Caenorhabditis elegans: one gene and its partner. The protein of the gene in region 1 interacts with the protein of each later gene in a pairwise test. Each region holds a gene or a part of one and is shown on either strand. Other genes may lie near its edges.

What was found.
Region 2: the proteins of pkc-2 (region 1) and erp-44.1 interact in a two-hybrid assay, tested with the Caenorhabditis elegans proteins (one large-scale study listed by BioGRID).

The regions. Positions count from the first base shown.
Region 1 is NC_003284.9:9,374,531-9,382,310, forward strand, and holds the start of pkc-2 (Protein kinase C-like 2), read left to right. Parts: upstream 1-1,740; coding exon 1,741-1,826; intron 1,827-2,005; coding exon 2,006-2,172; intron 2,173-4,034; exon of another isoform or gene 4,035-4,165; intron 4,166-5,521; coding exon 5,522-5,591; intron 5,592-5,809; coding exon 5,810-5,910; intron 5,911-6,051; coding exon 6,052-6,134; intron 6,135-6,206; coding exon 6,207-6,447; intron 6,448-6,601; coding exon 6,602-6,761; intron 6,762-6,807; coding exon 6,808-7,048; intron 7,049-7,093; coding exon 7,094-7,414; intron 7,415-7,693; coding exon 7,694-7,780. UniProt on the Caenorhabditis elegans protein: PKC is activated by diacylglycerol which in turn phosphorylates a range of cellular proteins. PKC also serves as the receptor for phorbol esters, a class of tumor promoters.
Region 2 is NC_003279.8:5,416,588-5,422,255, forward strand, and holds erp-44.1 (Thioredoxin domain-containing protein), read right to left. Parts: upstream 4,106-5,668; coding exon 4,054-4,105; intron 3,515-4,053; coding exon 3,419-3,514; intron 3,368-3,418; coding exon 3,218-3,367; intron 3,173-3,217; coding exon 3,088-3,172; intron 2,718-3,087; coding exon 2,615-2,717; intron 2,524-2,614; coding exon 2,276-2,523; intron 1,843-2,275; coding exon 1,667-1,842; intron 1,622-1,666; coding exon 1,483-1,621; intron 1,437-1,482; coding exon 1,352-1,436; intron 620-1,351; coding exon 518-619; downstream 1-517. Other genes in the region: utp-14 (Small-subunit processome), read right to left, coding at 4,921-4,971.

The DNA.
Region 1 (7,780 bases):
AAAAAGTTACGTATTTTGTGAAATTAAAATATTTCTTCTTGAGTTAAAATTATTATTGCCATAATAATCATACTTGAGAGTAATAATTTCTACGCAAGACTTGATCAGCCAGCCAGCTTATAAAAGTTTAATAGTGAATCAATCTATCGTCTTATTCCTCATATTATTTTTTTTTAATTTTTTTGTAAAAATATGTTTCTAAAATTATATTAGGTCTCCAAATAAGTTCCGGGTCAAAAATCATTTTTAAAAAATCCGTCCAAAAAAATTTTTTTGGTTGGTCGTCAAAAAATCTTCGAAAAATCTAGATTTTTCCTACAAAAATGATGTAACCAATTATAAACTATTTTTACACATGCAAAAAATTTTATTATATTTTATGTTATCATTTTAGTGTGACAAACTAAACCCAAATGTTTTGTATGTGTAAAAGTAATTTACACTTGGTTACATCTTTCTTGTAGGAAAAATATAGAATTTTCGACAAAAAGTTTTTTGAAGATTTTTTGACGATCAAATTAAAAAATTTTTTTTTTGGACGGATTTTTTCTAAACTTTTGTTGTTTTCTAAAAATGTATTCTAAACAAAGCAAAATCCGCACACAAACCTCAATTCAAAGCTGAAAAGAAGCGAGATCAGAAAAATGCCTGAAAAAATTGCCTCCGAGTTAGGACACTTGGGGTGGTAAAAAATTTTTGTGACTATTGTCAAATGAAAGATCATGGTTGGTAACATACATCCCAAAGTTTCATAAAAATCGATACGCAGCGAACAAAGTTATGATTTTTGACCCGGAACTTATTTGGAGACCTAATAGTACTTGTGATACTAAATATAAATAAAATTATAGTACTTGTGACACTAAATATAAAAATATATAAATTCATAAACCTGCTGTTTTTATTCAGTTTCAAATAAGTATTCGAAAAAAAAGAACTTAGTTGAAAATGTCCAATTAATAGCGTGAAAAGCATTATTTTCCTGAAAGCTCATATTAGCTTTTGTTTCTTTTTGCGAATTAAATCTACCGGCAAAAAAATATTTGAAAATTTACAACCTTGATATATTTGCATAATTTTCAAGATTGTAAATAGTTTTGTCAGAAACAAACAGTTTTTGTCATCATCTTACATTCTTGGAATCAAAAAAATTGGATGAGGAAACCAAATGCCTGAGAGCAACAGCTGAAAAGTTTTGCCCTTGTGCTCAAACACACAAGAAAATAATGAGCGAGAAGCTATTGGAAACCTGATCCGTGTCCCGTTTTTTTTCCTATCCTCGTTCTCAATTCAGGAAAAAAACTAGAGGCAAGGCTTCTTCTGTTTCTCCTTCTATGTGCTTCTTCGATTGACTTGAAAGGTGTGAAGTATGTAAACTTGACCCAAAAATTTAGCTTATAAAAAAGAAGCTCAAAAGAAGGAAAAACGGCTCAGCTTTATCGCTGCTGTCGCTTCGTTCTTCTCACGGACGTACGTGTGTATGTGCGTATGTTTATAAGCTTCTTGGCTTAGAGGATATCGGAGGCGGAGACTATGTCTGGATTTGATACTTGTGCACCGCTTTTTAATTGGGCAATATGATACTCGCCACAAATCCGGGAAGCTCCTCCAACAGCTAACCAGGAGAGAAAAAGGAAGACGTGTAGTGGTTTTACCTCCGGCCATCTGATATTATTCTCTTCTAGAGTTCCATTTACTAAATATTTGAACTACTGATATTCTTACTCATAAACTTTTAAAATGAGCCTACGACCAAAGCAAAAGTCATCATCCACTTCGGTGTTCTTAAAGTCTCACAAGTTTTCGTTAACATCTCATATTTTAAGGTAAATATTTCTTTCACGTTTTCTGTTTCTGGTTAAATTAATTATTGTGTTGACGTTCAAAATTCTTGCCAATTCTTACCTCCCTGCATTAGTTTGTGTTATTCCATTCATCCCTTCATCATACCTCCTCCCATCTGCGATTTTCATTAAACCATTGTAAAAGATTTATTCTGGTGAAGGAAGGCAAAAAAGCGCGAGACGATGGATAGTGCAGAGCGTCGACGATCCGAGACCGATATTGGTGGTGGTCCCAGAAATAGCGCTGATGCTCGGCCGAGCCTCGATCTGTCGTCCGATCCTATGCTCGAGTCGAATCTTGCACTTCGTAAACTATCTGAAGCTTTCGGTAAGTCGTCAAAACTATTCAGTAGCATAGAAAAAAACACAAGTCCTTTGTATCCCTCTAATTTGTATTCTGACGTTTCATGTGGTTCTCAGGCGAGTGGTGTTTAGTACACACATGGGATAGGGCCCATTTTGGCGTGAAGAATGTAGTTAGGGGAAGTAATTTTTTAAAAATTATGAATTAAATCAATTAACTCTAAAAACATGTTCAAAACCTTCATCACTGATATTCTACATATTATGATTTTTTACCGTTTGCAGTTCATATTTCTTGTGTTTAACAATTTTACCGGTAGACGCAGGGTGACATCCTATATTATCAAATATGAAAAAGTAGTGTTAAAAATATTTGGAAGGTTTCTGTTTACCAAGATTATTTTTATTCAGGTTTGAGAAGAAGCAAAGTCTGAAAGTAAAGCCCTTTTCAACGGACTCATTATTTGAATATGATCTACAAAATATTATATTTTTCACTGTAGTTAGTAATGGTTAGCATATCTGTGTTAGTACGTGATTCTGATAACTTTGTAGTTGTTTCCGCAATTTCTCTCGCACTTTGAAAAACTATCTAATTAAAAGCACAACTGGGCAGCTGTGGCAGTTTTTTGAAAACTAGGTTCCTTTCTATCATCTTCACTCCCTATCTGTCAAAAATGCCCATTGATGAATCATTCAATTAAAATGTCCATAGTCGATTAACTGAGAAATCTGTTGCCATTTGCCTAAAATTGACGTCAGAAAACGCATTCAGAAAAAAAGGCGGTTGTCTGAAAAAAAGCTTCCATGTGACTGCTTCATTTTAAACTTTTTTGTTTGCTCTTTTCAATCGCAAGTGAGCCAAAATAGAATTAAACATCTCAGGGAAAAAACGACTAAATATAAAATTAGAAATTAGAATTGGGACATCACAATACATACCAACGCATTGGCATTGCAAAAAAACAAAAACCAGTTTCCTTTTGTCATTGATCTTCCAATTGACATTGATTGTATTTTAAGTTTCGAGAAAAAATTCTTTAGAATTTGAACATCATATGTTTTCCTTAAATTTTCATGAACAAATTTATCTTATGACTAAAGTTAATGTTTTTCAACATAGTGGTAGACTTAATTTGGAACAATGCTATGTATTAATTTGAGGAATTGTTAAAGATAAGAATGGATGTTGTAAAAACGCCAAAACAAAAAAGTGATGATAAACATAGTATGATAAACGTTTGATTAAACTTTTTTAATATGCAATTTCAACCATAATTTTTCGGAATGTTTTGTTATGATATTTAGCAATGTTGAACTATTAAAAATACGGGGTTAGGGTACTCCTCTTTTGAAGTTTTTAAGCTGGCTGATAGCGGGTATGAATTAAGGTATCGTTAAAAGAACATTAAATTCGCCGAACAGCTACACGGAAAACTTGAAAATTTATAAATTAATGTATTCTACCTTATATTAATCTCTAGTATCTAGTGCATTTATGAACACCTCCGCATTCTGTCATATGCCCATTTTAAAATTTCAGAAGTTAATTATCCAAATAATTCATAGTTTAATCGGCAACAAACATCGCACAATCGCCTTTTCACCGACATAATTTGTTTTTCTTCGCGTCTTTTTTACGAGACTGATCTTTTAAGTTCACATAATTTTACAAACGGGTATTTTTGATTTTGATAGTATGGAATTTTTTAAAGATGGGTTCAAAATCAGGCCACTCAGTCTTTTTGCAAAATTGCAACCAGATTGAATAAAAATCAGATTAGGGATCAAGAATTACAGGAAATAGGTGGGCGGAGTCAATCACGCACCAAGAAAAAACACAGGAGAAATGGAAATTGGAATGGGGGTGGGGTGGATGCGGCATCCATTGATGAGGAGTGAAACGGCGGCGGGGGCCTGTGGTCCCAACCCAAATTGTTCTATTTTTCATGTGCAGAACGACGCCATCAGCCTCGGCTTTTCATTTGCTAGGGTAGTCGTCGCTGCTTCTTCTCATTTCGGGACCTTAACCGAAAAAACGGGAGAAACGAGAGAAAACCTCCGTTTTTTTTCACGTTTGCTCACCGCCTCTAACTCATTTAGCTATCATCTGCTACCCTTTTCAAGCCCCGCCACCAAACGTCAGAAGCTCATTTGAAACATTTTATTAATTTTAATCTTGTACCACTTCATGGAAGTTCCACAAGCACAGTCTTTAGCGGCGGCTGCTCTAATCAGCCCTGTGAAAAACAATTCCACTGGTGGAGGTGGGAATCAACAACTTTGTATTCGAAAGTCTATATCAAACCCTTCTAGTCTAAAGGTTTACGCCCATCACGAGGCACCCGGTATCATACATTTTCCTAGATTTGAATTTTCTCATCGTCTATCTATCCGGCCATTGCTGAAAAGGCTTCACGAACAAGGTGAGCTATTCTACAAAACCTCCCAATTTGCTTCCTTTTTTGAAATTGATTACCAATGAAACACTTTTGAAACTGGCTTGGTATTGTTAGACGGAAATTTTGTTTGAAATCAGTGAGCAATATTTTTTAAAAAAAGTTTCTGAAGATACAGGTCCTAGTTGAAAAAAGGTCAAAACAATGTGAAGAGGGATTTGTTTTTCATCAGAAAATGTTTATTTTTATTAAGTACTATAAAACATTTGTTAGTTTATGTTTTTGAAATCTGACAGTATAAAAAGCCAATATAAAAATTAATATTGCAAATTATCCATGCAAAGTTAGCCCAACAAATAAATGTAGCTTTTCTCATTATGATTTTTTATTGATTTCTAAAATTTTTTAATATAAATTGCATTAACAGCAATCTTGTAAACAAAACAAACATAGTAGTGAAATTCCATTAAAATTCTTCCGTTCTTAAGAAAACAATAAATGGCAAAAAGTTTCTGAGGACCTCCAAGACAAAAGCATCTTCTGCCCGCATGTCCTATGACTATTGAAAAAGGGCGAAAATAAAAAAGTGACACAACCCAGTGTTTCCTGATAAAAATTGTTCATACCCTCCCATTTTCCCCTATTTCGCTTCCCACCATTCCCATGAAACGCGCATTTACGATTGTAAAAAACTTGCGACGTCGAATTTGTAGGTTTCTTGTTTTTTATGTTTTCAAGAGTAATCATTTTGTTCTTTAAAACATGCAAAAATAAAGTTAATCCTTAAAATGACCTCACGACACGGAAGCCAAACCCCATTTCATTTCAAAGTTTGCAACTATAGAAAACGAATACAAAAGGAGGGAGGGGAGGTTACACTAAGAAATAAAATGGTGGGGAAGATATAATTGCGCGGGGCTCGGAGAGCAAAACTCACCTATTTGATTCCCTTTTTCATGTTTGTCTTCGTTTCAGCTCAACGGATCGAAGGAAAAGCATTTGTTCGTCGTGGTGCACTTCGCCAGAAAAATGTGCATGAAATCAAGTGAGTTGATACCAAACTTTGAAACAAAACCCTCGTAAAAGTCAGCACTGTCCGTTTTCCTATCTTGGTTATTTGATAGCTGACATTTATTTTGACTGAAAAATTGAAAAAAAAAATTCTTTCATTATCTTTGAATATCATAGGTCTTTCAAATGAAAACAAAAATCAATATCTTGTTCTTGTTGCACAATTTTGATTCAAAGTTTAATTCTTATCAGATCGCACAAATTCATTGCAAGGTTTTTCAAACAGCCAACGTTCTGCTCACATTGCAAAGATTTCTTGTGGGGTATAACAAAACAGGGATTTCAGTGCCAAGGTAATTTATTGGAAATTTTATTTGATATTAATAATTATTTTCTTCTTAATTTGTATCCAATGCAATTCGAAACAAATGTTTATAAATCATAAAATGCGACTATAAAACAAGTTTGATAGATAAAGAGAACTCTGTTTTCAGTATGTACCCTTGTGGTACACAAGAGGTGTCACGAGTTTGTCAATTTCGCATGTCCAGGAGCAGATAAAGGAGTAGATACCGATGTAAGTTGTGCACTCTATCTTCTTTTTCTCTTCTTTTTTTATGACATCCATTCCTCAAACTTTTAATTTCAGGATCCTCGCCAGCAGCATAAATGGAAAGTTCAAACATACTCATCGCCGACGTTTTGCGATCATTGTGGCTCTTTGCTCTACGGTATTCTGCACCAAGGCATGAAGTGCCAATCTTGTGACACAAATGTGCATCACCGATGCGTCAAGAATGTGCCGAACATGTGTGGTACCGACAATACAGAGAAGAGAGGTAGACTACGAATTGAAGCACACATCGAGAATGATCAGTTAACCATTAAAAGTGAGTGGGGTGCAACGCAGGAAATTAAATGGAAATAGACAAAAAGATTGAAAGAATTGAACTTACGTTGTTCAATGATTCTCAGGAAAATAAATATTTTCATCAAAACTGCTAGAGTGTATAATTATCTTGATACACAACATTTGTTTTACAGTTCTGGAGGCGAAAAACTTGATTCCAATGGACCCCAATGGATTGTCTGACCCTTATGTGAAGTGCAAACTGATTCCGGAGGATTCGGGATGCAAGTCAAAACAGAAAACTAAAACATTGAGAGCTACTCTTAACCCTCAATGGAATGAAACTTTTACTTAGTAAGTCATTGTAACACTTTATTTAAAAATAAAACTTGGGTTTCAGTAAACTGCTACCAGGAGATAAGGATCGGCGGCTTTCTATTGAAGTTTGGGACTGGGATCGTACATCTCGAAATGACTTCATGGGAAGCTTGTCGTTTGGTATTTCAGAACTTATGAAGGAAGCAGCGTCCGGTTGGTACAAACTGCTCAGTGCGGAAGAAGGAGAATTCTACAATATCAACATCACACCTGAATACGACGAAGATATGGAAAAAGTGCGCAAGAAGATGAATGAAAACTTTGTAAGTATAAGTTCTAATGCAATTAGGTGTCTTTTATCGTTTTAGATCACACGAGACAACAGTTCTTCTAAGCCAAAAGACCCGGCTGCCCCAAGAGCTAGTACACTTCCTCTCGGCAGTTCCAATCACAACGTGATCAAGGCTTCTGACTTTAATTTCCTCACTGTTCTTGGAAAAGGATCGTTTGGAAAAGTGTTGCTTGGCGAACAAAAAACAACAAAAGAGCTGTTTGCGATCAAAGTGCTCAAGAAAGATGTGATTATTCAAGACGATGACGTGGAATGCACAATGACTGAGAAGCGCGTCCTTGCTCTTCCGGAAAAACCATCATTCCTTGTTGCTCTGCATTCGTGCTTCCAGACCATGGTCAGTGCGCATAACAGATTTATTGAAAAAAAGGGATCAAACATGTGGAAGTATTTAGATGTTAATAGATGTTCGAATTTGTAATACATTGTTGACATTCATCCACGTGTTTTTCCCTAGGTTATTGCAAATTATTCTGTAACAGTAAGTATGACATTGAAAATAATAATTGTTGGATAGATGGAATATAATATACATAAGTCCTGAAGGCACTTATTTTTGAATGAAAACTCTTCAAACCCCCAATCAAATCCGTATTTTGATGAATCTCTGTTTCAGGACCGTTTGTATTTCGTGATGGAATTTGTAAATGGTGGTGATCTGATGTATCAAATCCAGCAAGTTGGGAAATTCAAAGAACCAGTT
Region 2 (5,668 bases), on another chromosome or scaffold:
ACAAGTAGATGAATCGGATTGAATCCATTTAACCGCCAAAACAAAAAGGTTATTGAAGAAATAGAAAGAATAAATATATTCATTCGTTTCTGTTAACATTGTTGATTGTTTTTGAATTTAAGATTCAAAAAATTTTTGAAATAAAATTGAATCTAAAAACAAAAAAAAGACAGGGATAGAGACATGGGAAAACGAAGAATAAAACCGCGCATCACAGACAGGAATTGACTAAAACTTTCAGAGAGATGAATAGGAAAGAAATGGATTTTGATTGGCAAAAGAACAACAATCCGATGGAATAACATAGTAATGTATAGTTTTTTGTGGAAATCGGGGATTAAATAGTTGTGTGTGGGGGGACCTCGTAGAAACCAAGAAATAAAACCAAAACCAATGGAAAATTGACCGAATAAAACTGAAAATTAAAAAAAAAGAACACCAGAGAAATGCAAAACAAGGCCATGTTGCAATTGTGATATAAAGCTCTGTTATAAACAAAAATGAAAAATCAAAGAAATTAAAGTTCCGTTTTGTCAAGAATTGTGTATCTCGAAGAAGCAGGCTTCAACTTCTCGAATGTAGACGGTGGTGGCTCAGTGTCCGGTGCTTGATTTCCAGTCTGAAATGTCTTACGAAAATTGTAAATATGGTCTTTGGAAATAAGTACTGCAATTTTTTCAATAAAAATACGGTACCGAATCTCGAAAAGGCAAATTTTTGAAAAATACAAAAGGTGCGCGCCTTTAAAGAGTACTGTAATTTCAAGATTTATTTTTTCTTGAATTTTTTATTGACTTTTCGATCAGAAAAGGAAATTTATTTTAAAAAAAAATCAGATATAACAATAATTTTTTAATAATTTTTTTCAAATCGAGAAAAAAAAAGAAAAATCAATAAAAAACCGCAGCAACTAATTTTAAATTACAGTAATCTTTAAAGGCGCATACCTTTTCACATTTGACAAAAATTTGTCGTTTCGAGACCCGTTTACCGTATTTTTGACGGAAAAAGCACAACATTTCGCGTCTGGGAAAAATATTTAGAAAAAATCATCCCAACCATAATTTTTTTTAAATCTTCTAATAATTCGGAGTTTTTTTTTCAATTTTCAGTTAAAGCTTCATTTATTTTGTTTTTTTTTCATAGAAAATTCCCAATTTGAGGGATTTTCCGTCCTGAAAATCTCATGAAATTTGTAATTTTACATTTTTCAAGGATTTTTAGAGACTTTTTTAAAGGTGGTATAGAAAAAAGTCTGGTTCAGATAATAAAAAAAAATTCGTTTACTAACTTTTCAATAAATTTCATAAAAATTTCAAAAACCAAAAAACTCCCAAAAAGTGACACTTACCACTGGATCTGGACCATGGTGGAATTCGCGATGAAGCTTTCCGCTGTGCAGATCGAGCACGAATTCGCGGAGTTTTCCGGGGACGCTGAAATAATTTTGTTTGTTTATATAATCCATTTTCCAGATCTTACTTGACATCTTCGAAATTCTTGAATAAATACATATGTCGGAAAGAATCAATTGCAATGACTGGAAGATCGGATTCCGATTTACCCAAGTGACTGAGTGGATGCTTGAAGATTGTTCCATCACCGACCAAGCAGTTAATTGCTGAAATTATTCATTTTAAAATCTAAAAAAACTCGAATAAAATACCTTTTCTCTGATCAGGAAGTTCTCGAACAATTGCATCAGTGAAGATCTTCTCACTGACTTTATCATCAGATTTCTTGAAAAGAATCATAAATGGAAGTCCTTCTTCAGTCAATTCTTCTGCATTTTGGAATGTGATTTCACGAACTAATGGCACACATTTGTCAGCAACCCATTGTCTGAAAATTTAATTTTACAATAATTATTTTTTTTACAGTCTCCTCGGCTCGAAATTGGTTCCTTGCCCCTTTTTAAATTTTATCGAGTTTTTTTTTGTCGAAAATTGGTTAACCTTTGTTTTTTCTTAACAAAAAAAAAGTTTTAATATTTTGAAACATGAGATATTTTTTAAAGATATTTTTTTGTATTTTTAAAAAAGATTTGTGAAGAAATTAAATTATTTTTAACCCAAAAAACCGAACAGAAAATGTTTTTTTTTGGTGATAGCTCTTTTTTAGAACGCGTGGGAATTTAAGAAATCACCGAAAAAGCTTAAATTTGGGTTTTTTCTTCAGCTTTTCATTTTTTCAGGTTCAATGTGAGAATATTTTTCAAGTAAGACAAACTACCATTGCGATGAGAAAAACTAAATTTTTCATAACTTTTACTAACTTGAGATATTCATAAGTGGCAAAATCTCCAGAGAATGGAATCTGTGCTGGATTCACAGCCTTATTAGATGGCTGGAAAACGAGTTTCGGTGGTTGACCAGCAGCCGGTGCCTCTCCAGGGAAGTTCAAATCTCCGATTCCAACCATAAATTCACATTCATCACGATAAAACATTGCCACGTTCATGAGATTCTTGTACTCGACACTGTTTTCATCATGGAAATATCCAATAAATGTGTTCTTTTCTGGCTGAAAAATATACTTTTTTAGTTTTGAAACCTTCTTTTTGCCACAATAGAAAATTTATTTTGGTTTTTCAAATATTTTCAGTGAAACTCACATTATGCGCAGCTTGAAGTGCATTTTTCTCAATAAACTTCTTCACTGTAACTTCCATTTGTTTATTGATGAATTCGCTAAGAGCCTCCACGGATCGGGAACTTCTGAAATTCAAAATTTAAAATAATTTTTTTGAAAAAAATAAGTGTATCGTCAATAAAAAAAGTTGTGTAAAATTGCAGCCTATAGTGCTAAAATGTCCTAATATCATAGTAAAACAAATTTTTGAAATATCTTAATTTTTAGTTTCACATATTATAATTTTGGAATTTGACCAAAAAAAATTTTCTCAGAGTGTAGAGGTGTAGAGGAGGAGAAGGAGGAGGTGTAGAGGTTAGAACTCTGCACATTTATTAAAAGTTCGACAGTTTGCCAAATCTTTATAAGAAAATTTTTGAACAAAATTATAAATTTTTATATATTTTTATTAACTTTAAATTTAAAAAAAAAACAAATTAAAATTAAGCAACTAACCTGTACTCTCTTTTCGCGGCTTCTCCATTTCTGAACAACTTCAGAGTTGGATATTTATTAACATGATATTTTGTGGCAATGTCGTCTGAATTTCATAAAAATAAATGAATTATTCCAATTTATTACTCACTGTTCTTATCAGCATCCACTGAAGCCCACATAATCTTGCCCGGAGCCGCATCTTTGAACTTTTCCGAAGCTTCCAAGAAAATGGGTTTCAACATCTGCGAGAAGCGGCACCAATCTGCGTAGAAATTCACGAAAACGAGTTCATTTGCTTCTGAAACATGATAATTAGCATATTTTCCATAGATAGTTGAAGACAGCTCACGAATAGTTTGCTCGAAGTTTTGTGATGTCAATGAAACAACTTCAGCATTCAGTAGAGCCGGACAGAATAGAAGTAGGGATAACCACCGCAGCATTTCTGAAATTTTTGTTATTCGATTTGAGAATTTATAGGGAATTTAAAAATGTTTAAGGCAAATGTTAAGAACATTTAAATGATTTTCCAGCTGTAAAAAGTATGCTTATCAACCGATCTATAGGAAAACAAAAAGTTCAAGAGTTTCTTGATTGGTCTGTTTCAAAACGAATGTTTTTGATTGGTTGTAAACGCATATTCATCATCAGTTAGTTTAGTGCGGAAAATGGCGTTTTGCAGGGTTTAGAAAGGGTAAGACGTTGTAAAACATTTCTCAAAACATAAAAATCAATGTCTGAATGCAGCATATTCAAATTTAAAAGAACGGCAAAAGACACGTGTACTTTTTGGCCAGCATTGGTCACACAAACCGCCCGGGGTATTAAAAATAGTGGAAAAAGTGTTGAATTATAAGAGACACAGACGCTGAATCAGAAGAGGCGCAGGGTGAGTGAGTGAGCACACGGAAAAGAGCAAACGAAAAGTGGAGAAAAAGCTGACTGGCGATGAGAATTGGGCGTGGATGGGGCAGCTTTACAAACGATTTTTCATGAGAATACTGTGTGCTTGTATCTCTCTGAGAGCATGTGCCATTCCGTGCTGATCACCGAGATTCACTTCTTCTTTCAAAACCGAAAAATATAAATTTTTGTTCGAATTTAAAAAAATCAAAACCTTTTTTTTTTGGTTAAAACTGAACATCGAAAAAAAAAACGTTTTGGGGTTTATTTTCTCAAAAATAGTGAAGGTGCAGGTTCTTGTGAGAAATTTGTCAGAAAAACTTGTTGTTGCAGTGTTTTCAGATTTTTTTAAACCAAATTTTTCGTTTATTAAAAAATTGAAGTATGGAAAATTTTTTTTTCAAAATCTTTAGTGGTTTTTAACCGACAAAAAATGTTTTTAAAAATAAAAAAAAACAATTCTAGAAAATATCTGGAAAAATGAAGAATAGTTCAATATTTAATGTTGATTTTAATGAGACATGATTAAATAGAGAAATACCCTAAAAAATTAAATTTTAAATACTTTCGAAAGCGAAAAGCAGACATTTTTTTGAGATTTTTATTTCAAAATTTCAAAACTTTGGGTTTCGTTGCCAACTTTTTCAAAATATTATTTTAACAACAAAAATTATATTTTCAAATTTCAAATAAATTGCTGGGGATATCCACCATAACGAAAAAACTGATTATAATTGAATTATTTTTTAAAAAATTTGTTTTTCATTTAAAGAATTACAGGAAATGTAAAATTGAGAAAATAATGAGAAAATGGTCTCAATTAAACTTTCACCGTAAAGAAAACATATAAAATTAACAACAACGAACATTTCAGGTGACACTTCAAAGAGAGAAAACCAACAATAAAGTTTTTTTAAAAAATCAACAAAAAATTAACAATTCTTCCAATTATTCTCCGAGTAGATGCTTCTTGTTGATTGGACGAATAGCTCTTCCAGCCTGAAAATATAAATATTATAAATAGAGAAATTTTATTCAAAATTTGTGTCTAGTAACTCATGAGGGGAAAAATGTGAAAATAGTTGGAGAAAAGAAGTAAGAGAAGGAGAAGAAGAGCATTTCACAGCTGAGTGAGGAAAAGCTGTCCCTAGAAGCAACACACACATCATCGATTTTCTTTCGAGCTTCAACAATGTTTTGAAACATTTCAAGTTCTTATCAATGTAATAGGAACGTGTGAAAACCCAGCAGAATGTACGGCGCCGAACGATGATTTTGAATTACTTTCAGTCAACAACTCGATTAGTTTTAGTGACTCGTCATGGTGTAAACATATATTTGATGTTTTTATTTCTTTCTAAATAGATTCTAACAATTTTCAATTGCAAGTTTTGTTGGTTGATTTCAAATAATTCCAATATTTATGATTACTGTAATGGTTTTTTGGAAGAGGAGACAAGATTTGCTGTAACACAGGGATTACTGTAACTAAAACGTCTAGAAAATTGCTCCTCTTCAATGATAATCTTTAGAAGTTTTCTTGCTATTTTTAAAAGTTATTCAAATTTCCTCGCTAGCTCACTGATCTTCTTCAATTAATACAGGTGTGAGCCAATCCAAATATGTATTCTCTTGTCAATCATTTTTCGTCATTCTTTCTCCGATCTATATGAACACCCACCAACCTCTACACAAA